Linked DNA regions of Stegostoma tigrinum. The protein of the gene in region 1 purifies or fractionates together with the protein of each later gene. This does not show direct contact. Links are inferred from orthologs where the notes say so. Each region holds a gene or a part of one and is shown in the gene's direction. Other genes may lie near its edges.

What was found.
Region 2: the proteins of exoc3 (region 1) and exoc7 purify together in Homo sapiens (affinity purification with mass spectrometry; 5 studies listed by BioGRID and IntAct, counting the BioPlex papers as one, with this or other methods). This does not show direct contact. The link is inferred for Stegostoma tigrinum from reciprocal best matches to the Homo sapiens genes EXOC3 and EXOC7.

Annotation. Positions count from the first base shown.
Region 1 is NC_081355.1:20,902,379-20,912,681, reverse strand, and holds the start of exoc3 (exocyst complex component 3), read left to right. Parts: upstream 1-6,543; 5' UTR 6,544-6,842; intron 6,843-10,303. Other genes in the region: aryl hydrocarbon receptor repressor-like, read left to right, coding at 1-476. UniProt on the Homo sapiens protein: Component of the exocyst complex involved in the docking of exocytic vesicles with fusion sites on the plasma membrane.
Region 2 is NC_081375.1:4,040,498-4,050,245, forward strand, and holds the start of exoc7 (exocyst complex component 7), read left to right. Parts: upstream 1-5,230; 5' UTR 5,231-5,300; coding exon 5,301-5,360; intron 5,361-5,595; coding exon 5,596-5,661; intron 5,662-8,576; coding exon 8,577-8,761; intron 8,762-9,748. UniProt on the Homo sapiens protein: Component of the exocyst complex involved in the docking of exocytic vesicles with fusion sites on the plasma membrane.

The DNA of each region.
Region 1 (10,303 bases):
TGAAGTGCGACCCCAATGCGCTGGAGCAGTTGCCAGCCTGTGAAAAACTGAAGACTCCTCTGCTACCCCCATTCTGCAGAGCCAGCATGGTCAAAGGCAATGGCCTGTGGATGACAAGCAGCACATGTAACCACAACAGGCTGTTGAAACATGACATAGACATGGCTCATTTCAGTCCACAGAGGGCTGTCCAGTCCCGTTGCACTCACCATGATCAAGTCGCAGACTGTTTACAGGCAGGTGCCTTCCCACAGCGTGCTATCCAGGACAAGGGCTTAAGTCAGGAGACACACAAAATACCGCTGCAGTTCAAAGGTCATGACCTAATCCACACAGTCATCAAACGCGAACCCTCACTCTCTCCTCCTTGGTCTTGTGACAATCCACACAACATACAGTCAAGCTTACAAAGAAATATGCCCAGTTGTTTGTTAAATTCATTGACTCACAAAATTACACAGAACACATACTTGTAATTTTTGTTTTATAATGAAATTATTTTACAGTTTTTATTTCAAAATGCCTTTACTCTAAGAATGTCTAATGAAAATATTTACTTTGCTGTAAACCCTGATGTATTACCTATTGCCATTTATTTTGCAATTTTGTATGAGGACTTTCATTATAATTTGCCTATGATGTATTGTGTATGAATGTAGCAGTCTTGGGAGCACATGAAAAACATTGAAATACTTGATATTTATGTCTGAAGAATCCACAGGTAGAACAATAATTGGATTTGTACAGTGCTTTTAACAGAATTTTAAAGGTTTAAAGCACTTTAAAACTACATTAGCAGATGAAGTTTGATCCTAAGACCTGCAAAGAAGATATTAGGACAACTTGACCAAAGAGGTAGGCTTTAAGGAGTGTTCTAAAAGAAGAGAGAACTAGAGAGGAAAAAAGGATCAGTGGGACAGCTGGGAAATTCCAAAGCTTAGGGTCTGTGCTTTCAAGTCTTAGCGTCCAAGTGAATGGAATAAATTCCTGACTTTAACATACGGTATTGAGTCTACGGACTGTTAAAATGAGGGCACCTATTTAGTTAAAAGATATGTAGCCTTTATGTTGCCAGGTACAAAAACATTCAATTTCTTTTTATTCTTGACCATTGAGTTGCTGGTCTTGTCCTTAAAACAGTTGTCCACTGTTCTGCTGTTGATACCTTGTCTGAAATTTTTTTCATGTTATCAGTCTATGAAATAGCAGATCTACTGAATAGCTCAGCCTCATCCAGTCTGAACCTGATATCCACAGAGCTCCAGCACCTGAATGTTGGTGATCATGGAGAAATGAGGTGTATTTTACCTGAAATGACCACATTCAGGCTAATTACAATCCTGCGATGCTTAACAGGACAGCACAGATCAGAGATGAAGTGTAGGATCTTCCTTTCTCAGTATTGTACCTGGGCTTGTTTCTTTTTCCACTTTAAACCATCTAATGCATAATTAACTAAGATTGTTATGCACACTACTTTGCGAACCATGTGCTTGACAGACAGCATAAAGTGCAGGGAGTTTTCCTGTTCTTTAAATGAAGAAGGAAATGAAGTATCTTGGGACATCTGTTTGCTTCAAAGACACTATGTAAATGCATGCTGTTGGATCCAACATGTAGAATAACAGAGTTTAGAGATGCACCTCCCCTATATATTGATTTTCTATTGTATTTGGACCTGTGTCCGCAATCATGCATGTTCAAACCTGCTCTGTAACAGAACATAGAGCAGGATTTTCATCCTGTTATGCAACAGGAACAAGGCATCATTTTGCACCACCAGCTAGCATGCCAGTTTACCAGCATAATTCTGGCCCCAAGCCATTTTTGTGAGGGCCTGGTCAGGGTGGAACAGCTACCCACCTGCAACTGGATCGTAGGTAGTTAGGGTCATTAGAGCCCAATTAAGGTCTTGGACCACAGGCCGACTGGGATATTCTTCAAAATGGAAAAATCCTATTTCTTCCTTGCCAACAATGGTGGGCCGCAGTTCCTTCTGTGCTGGAGGGTGTCTCATTGGCTTCTGTGCTTTAAAAGCCCACCCACCAGTGTTAATTGGATGGCAGGCATGTTTTCAAGTCTCTAATTGGCTAGAATCAAGGCAAAATCTGTGTCAGACGACCCGTCCTGACAAAATGCAGAGTTGGAAACAGGATTTGATCCCGATGTCAGGGTCCTGACCCTAAGTAGAAAAATCTACCCAGGGCCTGAGTAGTATAATGGATATATTGTTGGGCTATACCTCTATAGAGTGTAAGTTCACATTGAATGTGACCCTGTGGCTGTTGGATTGTCCAAAAACACTGACGTCCTTTCAGGAAGGAAACCTTTCACCTTTGTCCAGTGTGGTCTCTGTGTGTGATTTCATAACAGACTTTCTGTTATGCTCTGGAAGAGACCATAACAAACTCAGATACTCAGTTGCATCATTACCTTCTCAAAGTAATCAGTGAGTGTCAATAAATTATTGCCTTGCCAATAATGCCAATATCCCATTTGCAATTCTGTTATAAACACAGGTGCCTGCAACATATTCCTCATCTTCTTCGTTTGCATTTGTATGATGCTTTGAATACTTACCAAGTCAAAATGATTTTGTATTTTTTGTTCAAAAGTGTCATAATCATAAGAATCAGAAAACACAGACAATAATCATATGAAATCAGACACAGCAAATTGTTTCATTGACATAGTAAGATAGGAGCATCACATGTTATTAAATATTTACTTAAGAACATCATTCTGATTGCATCTACATAAAAATATCGATGTTACTTGTAACAATAAATTAGAGCTAAGGTTGAAAGTAGATACCGTTTTAAACAATTTTACCCCATTGCATTCATTCATTATATCTGTGACCTAATTACTGCAAGATCAAAGGGATTTCACCTCAGTACATCACTGGGAGACATTAAACATTGTTCCATACATCACATATTAAATGTGATAACCCCAACATTACGTTTTAATTCAGACAGCTTCCCTGTGAAGATTTATATAATTCTCTTTGCCTGTTGTCTCAAAAATGTTTATTCTTCTGTGTTGTCTCTTTCAGAACACCAGAAAGAGAAACAAATATGCCTAGCCTATTAAATCAAGTATTAAAGAGATAAAATTTTGAGAACAAGTGCTTCTCCATCACTGTTTACAAACTGTTAAAATACTTTGTCAATGTTGCTGCTCATTTTTGTAAATAAATATAAAAACAGCAATAATGTACAGAAAGCAACATGTATTTATGAAATGACAATTTAGCTTTAACATATGTCATATCTTTAATACTTTGCTTTTGTTTGTGTCTAATAATCTTTTTCTTTTGGGATAGTGCAGATTATTGCAAAAAAGCACTTGTTGGTCAAATATTTGCTGATAGCCATTCCTCGGTTCCAACAAATTGCCTTAAAGTCAACTTTATAAACCCACTCCACAACAACAAACAACAACAACACAAATTTCATAAACCCACTGCTGTAACAAATAGGTGTTTAACAGTTCAAACCTATGACTGCTAAGTACTTGTTCCCTGTCAGCTCCCCACTTCCCTTTTGGAGAACGTCAAGGTTTCTACACCCAGTTGTTCTGCAGTTCCTATTGCATATTTTAGAAGTTTTCACTGGCAGATATTTCTGAGATCATTTGTAAGTTTTAAATTACATTTTATTTTCAATGCCAGTCAATCTTAAGTAGTGTTGCACACATGTAGTCAAGACATAATATTGTTTTCAGATGGAGAAAAACACAATAATGTATTTCAGTCCAGGTTTGGCATCATACACTCTGTCCTTTCCTGTTCACTTCTATGATAGGTTCCTATGTCTCCACCTTTAAATGGATATGACCTGTGAGGCTTTAAACTGAGGGTCCATCTGCCCTTTCAGGTAAATGTAAATGATCTCATAGTACTACTTCAAAGAAAAAACAGGGGAGTTGGTGTCCAAGTCCAAGTCAACAATTATCCCTAAAACAAGTTCACTAAAATAAAGTATGAACTCATTATTGCGTTGTGTTGTGCATGGATTAGCTGTCATATCTTCAGTGATGACAATTCAAAAGTATTCAATTGCTCATGAGAATTTTGGAATGTTCTAACATTGGAGAAATACTATATAATTGCAAGCTCTATTATTTTTCCTTCCCTATGTAAAACTATTCTATCCACTACCCTATGTGGTGTTGCTACACTTTCCAGAATAAATATGGACAAAAGGGTTTTCAATGGTAAAATAATAACTGGAGGTCTTTGTAAATGTAAAGTTTTTAATATAGGGTTTGAAATATATATATATGCAATAACTGTGTTTTTCTAAAGCTTGAGAAGATTGGTTCTGTTCAAAAACAAAACTTTGTAAAATCTTCATTACAGTACAGTTTACATCATTGAATTCCATATTTCCTTAATGAAAATACATAGAAGAAAATTATCCTCATTTTCTTTCAGATTGTGTGGATCTATCAGGAGAACATGTAAACAGTCAGTTTCTCCAATGAATGTTTTTTTCAATGTTTGACAATGAAAGAATCCTTCAAGTTCTGCCATTTTGCAGTGTGCACTAATTATTGTTTTATAATTACAAAACATTGTAAATACTTAGTTTAAAAACCTACAATAAAGTATTTGTACAGATCTTGTCAAAACGTCTTGGAATTGCTGCTATCAGTGTCTTTGCAAGTAGCATACAACTCAACAAGGCACCAAAGATAGACAAGTGTTGTTTGAAGTTGTAAATTCTAGGCTATCTTTCTTTAACACAGTGCTATTGTTATGTCTATTTATTGCAAGAACATTTTGATGTGAATTAAAAAGGGAAAAATGGGCATAAATCAGAACATTATCCCCCAAAATTCTGTGGCTGCTGGAGGTGTCCATGACAGATATCAGTAGATTTTTGTTGGGTAAGTGGTAAAGAATGTGGAGCAAGGCAGACAAATGCAATTGAGGTGCAGACCAGCCATGATTTGAGCAGACTCTTGGTGTTGAATACTCCTGCTACTAATATTCAGCTGGAACACAAGTTGTGGATGAGGCAGAATGTCTTGAGTTCAAGTTCTGATCCAGGAAGTGGAGAATAAATTCTGGGCTGAAACTGCCATTGCGGTACTGTGTTAGTGCTGCACAGTTGCAGGTGCTGCCTTATAATTGAGACACTAAGGTAAGACTTACTCTCACTGTGTGCTCTCAAGTGCACTCAGATCAATGTGAAAACACCATGTGACAATTTGATGAAAAGCAGTGGCATTTCTCCCCAGTGCCCAGGGCTGTATTTATTCCTGTAGCAACAATGAATTATGTGGTCATTATCAAATTATCCTGTGGGTTTGTCCTGTGAACAATTGGTTACTGTAATTCCCTATATTATTACAGTAACAATTGTTTAAAATATTTCAATGGCTAAAAAGCTTTGGAATGTGTTGAGATAATGAAAGGTGCTGTTCGAATGCAAGCATTTCTTCACATAATTTGACAAATTATAGGGCAGTTTGACCCATCATGCCTCTGCCAGCTCTCCGGATGGGATATTCACTTAGTGCCATTTCCTGGTCTTCTGTCTGAAACCCTGTATATTCTTCCTTTTCAGATAATAGTCTAACTCTACTGTGAGTGCTTCAACTGAATCTGCCTTTGTTACAATCTCAGTTAGTACACCTTAAACAGAACCACTCATTATGTGAAAAAAATCTCATTGCCTTTGTTTCTTTTACTAATTATTGTAAAACTATGTCATTATGTTCTCTATCTCTTCACAAATGGTAAGTTTCTCCCGATCTATTTTGGTAGGATTGCTCACTGCATCTATTAAATCTCTGTTCAGCCTTCTACTCTCCAACAGAAATGGTCCTTCATAACTTTCTCATCTTGAGAACCGTTCTCATGATTTTTTTTCTGAACTCTCTCCTATGCCTTCACATCCTCACCAAAATGTGGTGCCTGGACTAGCTGGGCTCGCAACCCCAGTTTAAGACAATCTCACGTTCTATCAACATAGCCAACTTGCTTTCGCACACTTCTCTCAGCAACTGGTTAGCCTTGAATTGTCTTCCACAGGCAGAAGCAAAGGCTGGATCTTTGAAGTCATTCAAGGTTGAGTTAGCTAGGGTTTTGATCAACAAGGAAGTCAAGGGCTATGGGAAACAAGCAGGCAAGTAGAGGCAAGGCAGTGAGATCAGCCGTGATCTTTTTGACATCGCTCACGCATAAGGGTTTGAATGGCCCACTCCAGATCCCAGATTTTATGTAACTCCCAGTGTCTATTAGTATACTTTGCTATAATTTCGGCCATAGATTGTTTGTTGTGGTTTGTAGAGATTATTTTTAAGATAGACTCTCTTTGCAGCGTATACAGACTTTGGTTTAGATAAATTATGTTTGCTACGACAGCTTCAGACTGCTCTAGACATAGCTCACTGATTTCTTGGATAGTCTAATGCAGATAGGAATGGAGACCGCAGCCAAAGTACAATCTCCAAACCGTTCCCCAGCTGGCCGGAAATGTACTTGCTCTGCCGTGGTGCATGCTGGGTTATGTAGTTTCCCCAATGCGACAGGCCGACTACACTACCCGTCGGACGGCGCGGTTTCTAATCTGGCCGGTCGGAGTTTCGTGCCGTCGCGGGACACGGTTTGAATGCTCGTGGTGTTCGATTTCGTTATTGTCTTCCCGCCGTCCCTCTGGCGCTGCGAGAGGCCGTAGTACCCCAGGCAGGGTTAGGAGGATCTGGAGTGGTGAAGGTGGTGCTAGGCCCGGGCCTGGGGCCTGTTCCTGCTGCTTGAAGTGCAGAGAGGCGTCAAAAGACAAGAAACGGTCAAACGAGCCCGGGTGTGGTGTTATTTCGTTCCCAGGGTAGGACAGTCAGTGACATTTGCGGTTCGGGACGCATTTCGTTTCAGATTAAGAGTGCAGTCTGGTGACATTGCAGTCGCTGGCTCTGGGTAAATGTTAGTGCGGGTCTATGGGAGTCTGTGCTTGTCTGGTGTTCTCAGTCTAGCAATCTTATTAAAATCCTCAGATCCAACTGTGCGTGTTATTGCAGTCTCAGGGCCTGGTAAATGGCAATCATTGCGAACCCTTGTCAATGATGATATTACAGCTTCAAGATCTGGGACTTGCTTCCTTCTCTGTGCTATTGCTACCCCACGCTGTCGTGTTATTGTTCAGCTGTGTTGTTATTTATTGTTGTCCTAGAACTGGAGATGAAATATATTAGAAAGTTACCTTTACATAAGGCAATTGTCAAAAGTTTACGATAGCCTTAAAGAATTGTTATTGTGAAGTGTCAGTTAAAGGATTATGTCAAAATTTCAATCCAGCACTTACTATCCTTTAGTCTTGGTCAGGTAGCTAAAGTTTCTTATTGTAGTGCACTATGTTCAACCAGAATGAGGGCATATTGATTTGAGAGCAGCTTAAACAGGTGAACTGAGCTCTGGGTAACACCCTAGCAGAAAAGTGGAGTTATGATCATTCACTCCCGCAGTACTACATTAAAGTGTCACGTTAGTTTTTGCAGAGTCCTGTGCTAGTGTTGAAGCTTCAGTCTTTTTGCCTTCAGAAGGGTGATTGCTATCACAGAGACAAACTGGCACTCAGTATCTCTGCAGAATTCCATTTCCATTCTTCCATTCTGATAACACCAAGTCATATGGGGCAATGTAGTGGGGAATGACCACTGTTTTGTTGCAGCTACCAACAAAATGGGACATTACTTTTTGTTCATGATTAGACAACTTGATAGGATGATTATTTGTAGTACTATACCTGTTACCAATGTCAATATACATTTTGCATCACTTTAGTTTCATAAATGCCTAATTATTTATGATTTTCAGAGAAGTATTTGGTTTTGTAGCTTTATTTATAACATTTCATTACAAAATCAAGTCCTTTATTTGGACACTGTCTGAGAAGATTTTTTCCCCAGTTTTATGAACAATTTATTTGCAGCAAAATTGTGAATGCCGTTTTGTTGTAGGATGTATTTGCAATCAGAAACATTTTTTTAAAATCAGTAATGGTATTTGTTTTAGGGAGTATTTCATGTTTCATAACACAAACTTGATTCCTGCTATAGAGAGGTTTTTTCCTCAGTAAAATTGTGTTTGTTTTTTAAGTTGTAGTTTATTTCTGCTAGCCACTTTACTGTCTTGCTCAACATCCCTACTGTATCAGCAAGTGTAATTCTGTCTCTGTTAATCTGACTTCACTATTGTCCCTTATATGTTCTGTACTGTTCAGCAGCTTCAAGCCAAACTTTAAAGCAATATTGTTTCTTTCTCACTCTGCAGCCACCTAGTCTGAACACTCATTTCAGTTAAACTAATTCTAGTGTAAAATATGAATCAAGATCAGTCATGTGCGTGCTAAAAAATCTGGATTCTGGGAGTCATTTAGCCTCCTGTCCCGAGTTCCAAAATGATTCAGAGTAATAATACTTTGGTTATATTTTATTCAGCATAAGTAAGATTCAAGATATGCAATTGTTTGAACACTGTTATGCTGTAGGTGGAAGACTGGCATAACCAGGGAGTGATTATGGAGAGACCAATCAGTGGGGCATCTGGCCCAGGCTTCTTTACAATTCCCAATGTCTTGTAAGGTCTGTCTGTTTGTGAGATTGTCTCAAATCTGCTTTGAACAGACACCGTTCACTCAAAATTCCTTTGTATGCTTCCTTTCTGCAGTAAATTGATCTCTGGAAATCAATTCAACCCAGTCACTGCCTCGCTGTATCTGAATGGCCCAACTACCAAAGATGTCAAATTCATCCATCTGCTAGGCCAGGGTAAACTCTTAGGAGCTTTAGCTTCCCATTTTACCTATCAGTTTGGAAACTTTGAGTGGATAGTGCTTGGCCAAATGATGATCTTGGTAATGACTGAGCTAAATCAGTCTCCATCGACTTTGGAAATAAAGTGTAAGGATGGAATTCCTAGCAGAGGAGCTAGACAAACTAAAACTGTTGTTAAATTAAAAGGTTTATCTTTGCGTTAAGAAGGTTCTGTTCTTCGCCAACTGGCTTTTTGTAATACAACACATCAGGCTAAAATGGTTTATAGCATCTTACTCCAATGCCCTGAGTTGGCAGCTTTTTTTCTTTCCCAATGTACAAAATGCAAAAGTGGTAAAAGAAGGTTATGCGTCTGCTGATCATATAATATTCTTTCATTTGGGTCATTGAGCCACATTACTTGATCTTGTTGACAGGCTAAAGTCTGTGATGCAGTGCAGCATCAAGGTTATGAAAGCTGGAGATAAAATGGTAAATCAAGAACCAGTGATTTATTGAGATCAGAGATAATGGGAACTGCAGATGCTGGAGAATCCGAGATAACAAAGTGTGGAGCTGGATGAACACAGCAGGCCAAGCAGCATCTTAGGAGTACAAAAGCTGACGTTTCAGGCCTAGACCCTTCATCAGAAAAGGAGGACGGGGAGAGGATTCTGAAATAGGTAGGGCGAGGGGGGAGGCGGGCCAAAGATGGTTAGAGGAGAATATAGGTGGAGAGGAGAGTATGCGTGGTGAGGTGGGGAGGGGATAGGTCAGTCCAGGGAGGACGGACAGGTCAAGGGGGCGGGATGAGGTTGGTAGGTAGGAAATGGAGGTGTGGTTTGAGGTGGGAGGAGAGGGTATAGGTGAGAGGAAGAACAGGTTAGGCAGGCGGGGACGAGCTGGGCTGGTTTTGGGATGCATTGGGGGGAGGGGAGATTTTGACGCTGGTGAAATCCACATTGATACCATTGGACTGCAGGGTTCCCAAGCGGAATATGAGTTGCTGTTCCTGCAACCTATGGGTGGCATCATTATGGCACTGCAGGAGGCCCAGGATGGACATGTCTAAGGAATGGGAGAGAGAGTTGAAATGGTTCATGACTGGGAGGTGCAGTTCTTTATTGCGAACCGAGCGTAGGTGTTCTGCAAAGCATTTCCCAAATCTCTGCTTGGTTTCCCCAGTGTAGAGGAAACCACACCGGGTACAGCGGATGCAGTATACCTCATTGGCGGATGTACAGGTAATCATCTGCTCCTCCTCTCCACCTATCTTCTCCTCTATCCATCTTCGGTCCGCCTACCCCCCTTCATATTTATTTCAGAATCCCCTCCCCAGCCCCCTTTTCTGATGAAGGGTCTAGGCCTGAAACGTCAGCTTTTGTACTCCTAAGATGCTGCTTGGCCTGCTGTGTTCATCCAGCTCCACACTTTGTTATCCCAGTGATTTATTGATTTTGGCCATGGGTTTTAAAAGATAAGAGTTTTCAGGAAGGAAGATACTAAGTTCCACAGTTTTAAACTGTTGGTAAAGAAT
Region 2 (9,748 bases), on another chromosome or scaffold:
TGGCATCCAACAATTGTCAACCCCATAGGATCCTCATTGGAAAGGAACTTGCAGGTGATGGTCTTCCCATCTATCTCTGCCCTTGTCCTTCTAGAATGGAGTGGCCATGGGTTTGGAAGGATTTTGTCTGAGAATCTTCAGTGACTTTCTGCAGTGCATCTTGTGGATAGTAAATGCTGCTGCTAATGAGTGTTGGGTGAAAGGGAATGGATGCTTGTGGATATGGTGTCAATCAAATGGGCTGTTTTGACCCGGTTGGTGTCAAATTTCTTGCATGTTGTTGAGGCTGCTCCCATCCAGGCAAGTGGAGAGTTTTTCATCCTACTCCTGACTTGTGCATTATAGGATGACGGACAGGTTTTGAACAGTCAGGAGGTGAGTTACTCACTTAATTATTTCTAGTCTCTGGCCTGCTTTTGTGGTCATTATGTTTATGTGACAAGTCCAGTTGCGAGTTTGGTCTGTGGGAACCCCCAGCATGTTGATAGTTGGGGTTTCAGTGAATGCAACTCCATTGAAAACCTTTAAAACATGACAATATCCCAAATAACAGTCTCGTATATTAGTACAAATCCTTGTTGGTATTAATAGTGGCATACATCTGGGAATCCTCAACTAACCACAGTTGCAAGTACACATGGCTGATGTCAAACTTTGTGAAGCACAGCACCCCTGCCAGTTTCATGTACCAATCCTTTATCCAAGTGATTGGATATTTATCCATCTGTGAAAAACAATTTACCATTTGTTTAAAATCACCACAAAGGTGAACCGACCCATTTGGCTTCACCATCGGTATGAGCCATTCCGCAAATTGTACTGGTTTGGTGATTCATTTCTAGCCTTCTGATTTCACCTTCCCTTTCGCCAAAAAGGCAAATGGCACTGGATGGGCCTTGCAGGATCACAGAATTGCTTCTTGATCAATGTGTAAGGTGACCTCGGCTCTTTGATTGTCCCCAGACCTTCCTGTAAAACTACCAAGTGTTTAATTAGAACTTCACTGGTGCAGCCATTTTCTAATTGAAAAATGTTGAGTCAATTAAAGTGAATCATTCTCAACCAATTTCACCCCAATGTCATTTAGAACATAGATCAGTACAGCGCAGTACAGGCACATTGGCCCATGATGTTGTGCCGACCTTTTACCTTAATCCTAAGGTCTATCTAACCTCCACCCCTACCTTATACTATCATCCATATGCCTATCTAATAGCCGCTTACATGCTCCTAATGAGGCGGAATCCACTACCCGCTCTGGTAATGCATTCCATGCCCCGATCACTCTCTGAGTAAAGAACCTGATGTCTCCCCTATATCTACCTCCACTCACTTTAAAACTATGCCCCTCATAATAGCTACCTCCACCCTAGGAAAAAGTCTCTGACTGCCTCCTGTATCTATACTTTTGATCATTTTGTACACCTCTATCACCTCTCATCCTTTGTTGTTCTAAAGAGAAAAGCCCTAGCTCTCTCAACCTTTCCTCGTAAGACCTTCCCTCGATTCCAGACATCTTGATAAATCTCCCCTGCACCTTTTCCAACACTTCCACATCTTTCCTGCAATGAGGCGACCTGAACTGGACACAATACTCCAGATGTGGTCGAACCAGGCTTTTGTATAGCTGGAGCATAAATTCACAGCTCTTGAACTCAATCCCTCTATTAATGAAAGCTAACACACTATTTGCCTTCTTAACAACTCTGCCCGAAACGTCAGCTTTTGTGCTCCTAAGATGCTGCTTGGCCTGCTGTGTTCATCCAGCCCCACACTTTGTTATCTACCCACCTGGGTGGCAGCTTTCAGGGAACTGTGGACATTAACCCCAAGATCCCTCTGCTCCTCCACACTGCCAAGAATCTTTCCGTTAATGGCACGGTGGCTCAGTGTTAGCACTGCAGCCTCACAGCACCAGGGACCTGGGTTCAATTCCCGCCTCAGACGACTGTCTGTGTGGAGTTTGCAGATTCTCCCCATGTCTGTGTGGGTTTCCTCTGCATGCTCCGGTTTCCTCCCACAGTCCAAAGATGTGCAGGTTAGGTGGATTGGCCATGCTAAATTGCCCATAGTGTTTAGGGAGGCTGGGTCTGGGTGGGATGCTTCAAGGGACGGTGTGGATTTGTTGGGCCGAAGGGCCTCTTTCCACACTGTAGGGAATCTAATCTAATCTTAACCCTGTATTCTGCTTTCAAGATTTCCTTTCCAAAATGAATCACCTCACACTTTTCAGGGGTAAGCTCCGCCTGCACTTCTCAGCCCAGCTCTGCATCCTTTCAATGCCCCTTTGTAACCTAAAACAGCCCTTTGCACTGTCCACAACATGACCCACCTTTGTATCATCTGCAAACTTACTAATCCACCCTTCCACACCTTCATCCAAATCATTTACAAAAATCACAAATAGATGACCCAGAACAGACCCTTGTGGTACACTATTTATAACTGAGCACCATGTTGAATATTTTCCGTCAGCTACCACCCTTTGTCTTCTAAGGGTCTGCCAATTCTGAATCTAGTCTGCCAGATTTCCTCCTATCCCATACCTCCTTACCTTCTGCAGGAGCCTACCATGGGGAACCTTATCAAACGCCTTACTTAAATCCATGTATACCACATCCACTACTCCACCTTCATCCACGTGCCTTTCCAAGTTATCCTAAATTCTATCTCTCAGAGACCTTTCCAATAATTTGCCCACCACCGACCTGAGACTAACTTGCCTGTAATTTCTGGGGTTATCCTTATTCCCTTTTTTGAACAAGAGAATAACATTTGCCTCTCTCCAATCTTCCGGCACCATACCAGCGGAGAGTGAGGACGAAGAGATCACCAAAGGCCCTGTGATCTCTTCCCTCGCTTCCCATAGAATCCTTGGGTAAATCCCATCAGGCCCGGGGGACTTATCAATTTTCAACTTCCTCAAAATTCCTAGCACATCTTCCTTACTAACAGCAACCTCCTCCAGCCTACCAGCCTGTTTCACTCTGTCCTCTTCTAAAACTAGGTCTCTCTCAGTTGTGAATGCCGAAGAAAAGTATTCACTCCTCCTATCTCTTTACGATCCATGCACAAATTCTCTTTACAATCCTTGATTGGCCCTACCCTTTCTCTGGTCATTCTTTCATTCCTCACATAGGTGTAAAAAGCTTTGGAGTTTTCCTTGATCCTGTCTGCCAAGGTTTTCTCATGCCCCCTTATAGCTCTCCTAAGCCCTTTCTTCAGCTCCCCACTGGCTAACTTGTATCCCTCTAGAGCCTTTTCCATTTCTTGTTTTCTAAACCTTACAGAAGCATCCTTCTTCCTCTTAACCAGTCATTCAACACTCTTGAGAACCAAGGCTCTCTCACTTGACCGCATCTTCCCTGCCTGTTAGGGACAAACATATCGAGCACAAGCAGTATGCATTCCTTAAACAATCTCCACATTTCAATAGTACTCTTTCCTGACAACATCTGTTCCCATTTTATGTTACCCAGTTCTAGTCTAACAGAATTGTAATTACCCTTCCCCCATTATAAACCTTACCCTGCTGTATGTACCTAATCTTTTCCATGACTATTGTAAAAGTAACAGAGTTATGATCACTACCACCAAAATGCTCTCCTACCAACAGGTCTAACGCTTGGCCCGGTTCATTGCCAAGCACCAAATCCAAAGTAGATGTTCATTTTGCATTCTTTCAGAGGTGTTTTTGATTAATTGTTATGTCCATTTTCCTGGTCACCATGAAATTGCTCAAGTTGCTAAACGTTCTGGCCTCTTCTAATTTTGGTCTTTTCAGCAGACCATTTTTTAAAATTGCTTAACCATTGGTGGCCCTGGTACCTTCAATTTGCAGAAACATAAAAGAGTTGTAATGTACAAGGTCATTTGCTCAGAAAAATGTAGTGCATTCTTTCCGAATTTTTGGCCCATCTTTGACAGCAGGATTGAATGAGTCAAGCTTCCCAAATAACAGCATGATGTCAGAAAAGCTAACACTATCTAAAAGGCAACTATGATGAGTAAATACCTTCAAGAGTGTGTTATTTCATTGTTCCTCCTGAAATAACTCTATACCGGCGAGTACACAATCACCAAATCACCCTTTATTTATATGTGGGAAGTCCTTGACTTTTTGTCTTATTCCACAGATGAGTTTTCCCTGCACTTTCTGTTTTCATTTCAGATCTCATGCATCCAGTTTTGGCCATTACACCAGATTGGATTCACCACATTGTTTCTCACCTTGCTTTATTTTCTTTAACAAACAGCTTACAGGTGTTCATTTTGCATTCCTTCAGAGGTGCTTTTGATTGATTGTTATGTCCATTTTCCTGGCCACCATGAAATTGCTCAAGTTGTCAAATGTTCCGACCTCTTCCAATTTTGGTCTCTTCAGCAGACCTTTTTTTTATTGCTTAACCATTGGCACTGGTACCATCAATTTGCAGGAACATAAAAGTGTTGCGATGTAGAAGGAGACTATTTGGCGCATTGTGTTTACACTAATTCCTCAAAGGAACATCATTAAGCTGGTCTCATACTTCCCCCCATACCCTTGCACATTATTTCTATCCAAACAATCATTCAATGCCCTTTTGAACGCCTCGTTGAACCTGCATCCAGCATGCTTTCAGACAGTAACTACTCACTGTATGAAAATAATGATTTTTCTCCGTTGCATTTGCAGCAGTTAAGTGGGCCTTGACCTTTGGAATTCCCTTCCTAAACTTCTTCATGTCGCTCTTTCTTGTCATTTATGATGCTTTTTAAATTCTACCTCTTTGCGTGAGCTTGTGGTCGTCAGCTGGCCGAACAGCTCCTTGAGTGTCTTGGGATCAAGCGCCTGCCTATTTATCACCCCGGTGAAATACTCCAGTTTTCAGGCTGAGTAAATTCAAGTCACACAATCAGCAGTTCAGCTTGACCCTTCAGAGAGGTAAGCAACCCTGGTGATTATTTGACAAATCACAAACATGTGAGGCTCCAAATAAAAGGACTGATGTCTTGGGGCAATTTTTCCCAAACATTTCCTGGCTGACAGAATGTTAACATCAGTAAATGATTTTCTGAAGAAGGGTCTAGGTCTGAAGAAGCCTTCCTGCGCCTCTGATGCTGCTTGGCCTGCTGTGTTCATCCAGGCCCACACCTTGTCATCTCAGATTATCCAGCATCTTCAACTCTACCGTCATCCCAGTGAGCTGTTCGTCTCCATAGCGACAGACCACACCCCCCGCATCCCCAGGCCGGACGTGACGCAAAGGAAGTTTGTCCTGCTGACCTGAGGCCTGTGCGGAGAGGCTGCGAGGCGCAAAATGATTCCTACAGAGGACGCGTCCGCCAGGAAAAGGCATATCGAGGAGAAGCTTCAGCAGGTAAATGGCCGGGGTAGCCGTGGAAGAGGAATGGATAGTTGGAGTGCCGTGTGCCGGTCTCTGTCTGCAGTCCCCGTCCAGGGGTCTGGTCGGGGCGAAAGCGGGTGCGATGTGGTGTTATAAGTATTGCCAACTGCTATCCTAATGATGGTCTGATGCCTTTGCATTTACTATTAACTAGGAAGTCAAGTGTCTTTGATTAGATGCATATTTGTGACTTTTCTTTAATAACCAGGAGCAAGAAACCTTGTCGTTCATAAGAGAAAGCTTGGAGAAAAGTGACCAACTGACCAAAAATATGGTAAGTTCATCTTACTTCAGTCGTAGGTCAATGTTTTGTATATTAGAAGCAGCTGGTAAGGTGGACAGTGATAGGGGTTTGGTGGGGTGTCAGAAAGGGTGTTACTACACTACAGACCCTGATTTTATCATGTTTTGTGCATGTGTGGGCTAAATGGCAGTGTGTCACACTGACATATTTCCATTTACTAAAAGAGAATATCATGTTTGCTCCTGGATTGTCAGAGATGATGGTGTGTGTACTACTGTTTATCTCCAGCTCCTGGGGTAAGAAAGAAACTGGGGTTTGCACAATCAACTGTTTTACTTGTCTGTCTGGGTGGTGGAGGTCAAGGGTTTGGAAAGTGGTGTTGAAAAAGGATCGGTGAGTTATTATGCTTCATCTTTTGGATAACATGTACTGTTACTACTGTGCATTGATAGTGGGAACAGTGAAAGGTGAAGATGGTGGGCTGGAGTACCAGTTAAGCTGCTTAGTCCAGGATGGTTTTGAGATTCTTGACAGTTTTTTTGTACTTGTGCTCATCCGTGCAAGTGAGGAGTATGCCATCATACTCTTGCCTTGTGTCTTGTAGATGATGGACAGGATAGGGGAGGTGATGGCCTAGTATTAATGCTGGACTGTTGACCCAAGAACCTAGGTAATGTTATGGGGACCCAGGTTCAAATCTTACCATGGCAGATTGTGGAATTTGAATTCAATGAAAACCTACAACTGAGAATCTAGTGATGGCCTTGAATCCATTGATGATTGTCAGGGGAAAAATCCATCTGGTCCACTAATGTCCTTAGGGAAGGAAACTGCCTTTCCCTTACCTAGTCTGGCCTACATTTGAATCCAGACTCTCAGCAATGTGGTTGACTCCTAACTGCTCTCTATGCAATTAGGGATGGGCAGTAAATGCTGGCTTAGCCAGCAATGTCCTCATCCTTTGAAAGAATAATAAAAGTTGGGGAGTCTGAGTTACTTGCAATAAAATTCCCAGTCCCTGTCGTCTTTTGTGCTTCCAGTAATACGTGGCTAGTCCAGTTCAGCCTGTGGTCAGTGGGATCCTTTACAATATCGTCAGTGATTTCATTTGTGGTAATACCAAAGGGAGGTGCTTAGATTCTATCTTGTTGGAGTAGTTGCATTTGGAAGGCAATGAGTGTTAATTGCCATTAGTTAGCTCAAGCCTCACATTGTGCAGGTCTAGTTGCATTTGAACATAAACTGCAAGTATTTGGGGTGTTGTGAAGTGTGCTGAACACCGTGCAATCATCAGAGAATGTCCCAATTTCTGACCTTATGATGGAGGGAAAGGCATTGAAGCAGCCAAAGGTGATTTAGCTTAGGACGTTACATGAGGAACTCCTGTGTGTGATGTGAATGAAATGTATAGATGTTTCAAAGTCCTCAACCCTATCTGGTATTTGAATACTGTAGAGTGATGCTGTTGGGCTGGATGGGATTATATTTTCACCATTTTGAAATATTTCAAATTGTGTTACATGTAAAATATTTTTTCTCTTTATCATCTCTTTTGCCTGATGAGCTTTATTCTATTTTTAAAACAGGTCTGCAGGATTTCACGTTTGTGTTTATAGAGGATTGTCTCATTAGATTGGAGATAATGGGAACTGCAGTTGCTGGATAATCTGAGATAACAAAGTGTGGAGCTGGATGGATACAGCAGGCCAAGCAGCATCTCAGGAGCACAAGAGCTGACGTTTTGGGCCTAGACCCTTCATCAGAAAGAGTCTAGGCCCAAAATGTCAGCTTTTGTGCTCCTCTGATGCTGCTTGGCCTGGTATGTTCATCCAGCTCTGCACTTTGTCTCATTAGATCACTTTTTTTCTCAAGCCAGCTTCCACTTTGGAATTAGACTTGCCAATGATAAGCTCAGCTGGGACCATTACATTTGGGGGCTCTTGCAGGATTTGAATTCAGTGGGTTTAATAGGAATCTGTGTCTTTTTTAAAGTAATCGGTACGTGAGGCTTCTGCATCTAAAATGGCTGTGTTGTGATGAAGTATGTTGCATGGAATTTGAAGATTATTTTGAGTGTTATTGGGTTTATTTGGTAGTATTTGAAATCAAATCAGGATCTCTCAGGATGAGATGCTTTGTGTTTATCCACCCTGTAAAAAGGTAAAGTCATCATCGTCTTACCAGATCATAGGGCTGCACTGTGATAAGAGAGGCATGACCGGTGATGGTTTAACCTGAGGGTCACCACATCTCAAAGGGAAAAATCTGAGAAGCATAGTCGTTCAGAAATTCAGCTGCTGCAGAAATTGAACTCACGTTGTTGACATCACTGCATCGCAAACAAAACTGTCCAGCCAACTGACCTAACTGGTAATATTTATCCAGAATTGGAAGAAAGCAAGCCAGAAATTGGGATGCGATGGCTGGAATTAGTTAAGGTACAGTTGAAAATGAAGAGACTTGAACTAGAAACACACCCAGGAAGCTGGAAAGTGAGGAGAAAGAAAATCAAGAGTAATGGACATAGTTTAGGAACCTTGAAATTGAAAGGGAGAAAAACAAGAGGGGTATAGAATTAGTAGAACTCAACTCCTAAAAGATAAATAACTTTTATAGCATAAGTTGGCCAAAGAACAACTTGGAGGAAAGGAAGAAAGGAGGAGGTTGATGAGATTGGAGGGTGATTCTGACTAGAATGAATGATTTGCTTGGTGCCCACATTTACTGCGGTTGGATTCAAGAAGTATTTTATTTCATGTACTGAGACATTAACAGTGCAGAATGAGGCTATTGGGCTATTATGTCCACACCAATCAATCAACAAAGATCTGACCACCGTACTCCTATTTTCTTGCACTGACACCAGGCACGAGCCTCTGAATCCTGAGGAGGGACTGAGAGACTGTATGTTGCATAACAGCAAAGTCTTTACTCCACATTTCTAGGTTTCCATCCTTTCGTCATTCGAAAGCCGGCTAATGCAGTTGGAGAATTCCATCATTCCAGTCCACAAACAGACAGAAAATCTGCAGCGCCTGCAGGACAACGTGGAAAAAACTCTCTCTTGTTTGGATCATGTTATCAGCTATTACCATGTGGCTAAGGACACAGAGAAGATCATCAAAGAGGGGTGAGCAGAATTGGAGTGCGAAAGTTAATTTCATTCCCTGTTCATGTTAGTCAGCAACAGCTCCTTTACTTGTATCAGAGATAATGGGAACTGCAGATGCTGGAGATTCCAAGATAATAAAATGTGAGGCTGGATGAACACAGCAGGCCAAGCAGCATCCCAGGAGCACAAAAGCTGACGTTTCGGGCCTAGACCCTTCATCAGAGAGGGGGATGGGGGGAGGGAACTGGAATAAATAGGGAGAGAGGGGGAGGCGGACCGAAGATGGAGAGTAAAGAAGATAGGTGGAGAGGGTGTAGGTGGGGAGGTAGGGAGGGGATAGGTCAGTCCAGGGAAGACGGACAGGTCAAGGAGGTGGGATGAGGTTAGTAGGTAGCTGGGGGTGCGGCTTGGGGTGGGAGGAAGGGATGGGTGAGAGGAAGAACCGGTTAGGGAGGCAGAGACAGGTTGGACTGGTTTTGGGATGCAGTGGGTGGGGGGGAAGAGCTGGGCTGGTTGTGTGGTGCAGTGGGGGGAGGGGATGAACTGGGCTGGTTTAGGGATGCAGTGGGGGAAGGGGAGATTTTGAAACTGGTGAAGTCCACATTGATACCATATGGCTGCAGGGTTCCCAGGCGGAATATGAGTTGCTGTTCCTGCAACCTTCGGGTGGCATCATTGTGGCAGTGCAGGAGGCCCATGATGGACATGTCATCAAGAGAATGGGAGGGGGAGTGGAAATGGTTTGCGACTGGGAGGTGCAGTTGTTTGTTGCGAACTGAGCGGAGGTGTTCTGCAAAGCGGTCAACTGAGCGGAGGTGTTCTGCAAAGCGGTCAACTGAGCGGAGGTGTTCTGCAAAGCGGAGGCTTGGGGACCGCTTTGCAGAACACCTCCGCTCAGTTCGCAACAAACAACTGCACCTCCCAGTCGCAAACCATTTCCACTCCCCCTCCCATTCTCTTGATGACATGTCCATCATGGGCCTCCTGCACTGCCACAATGATGCC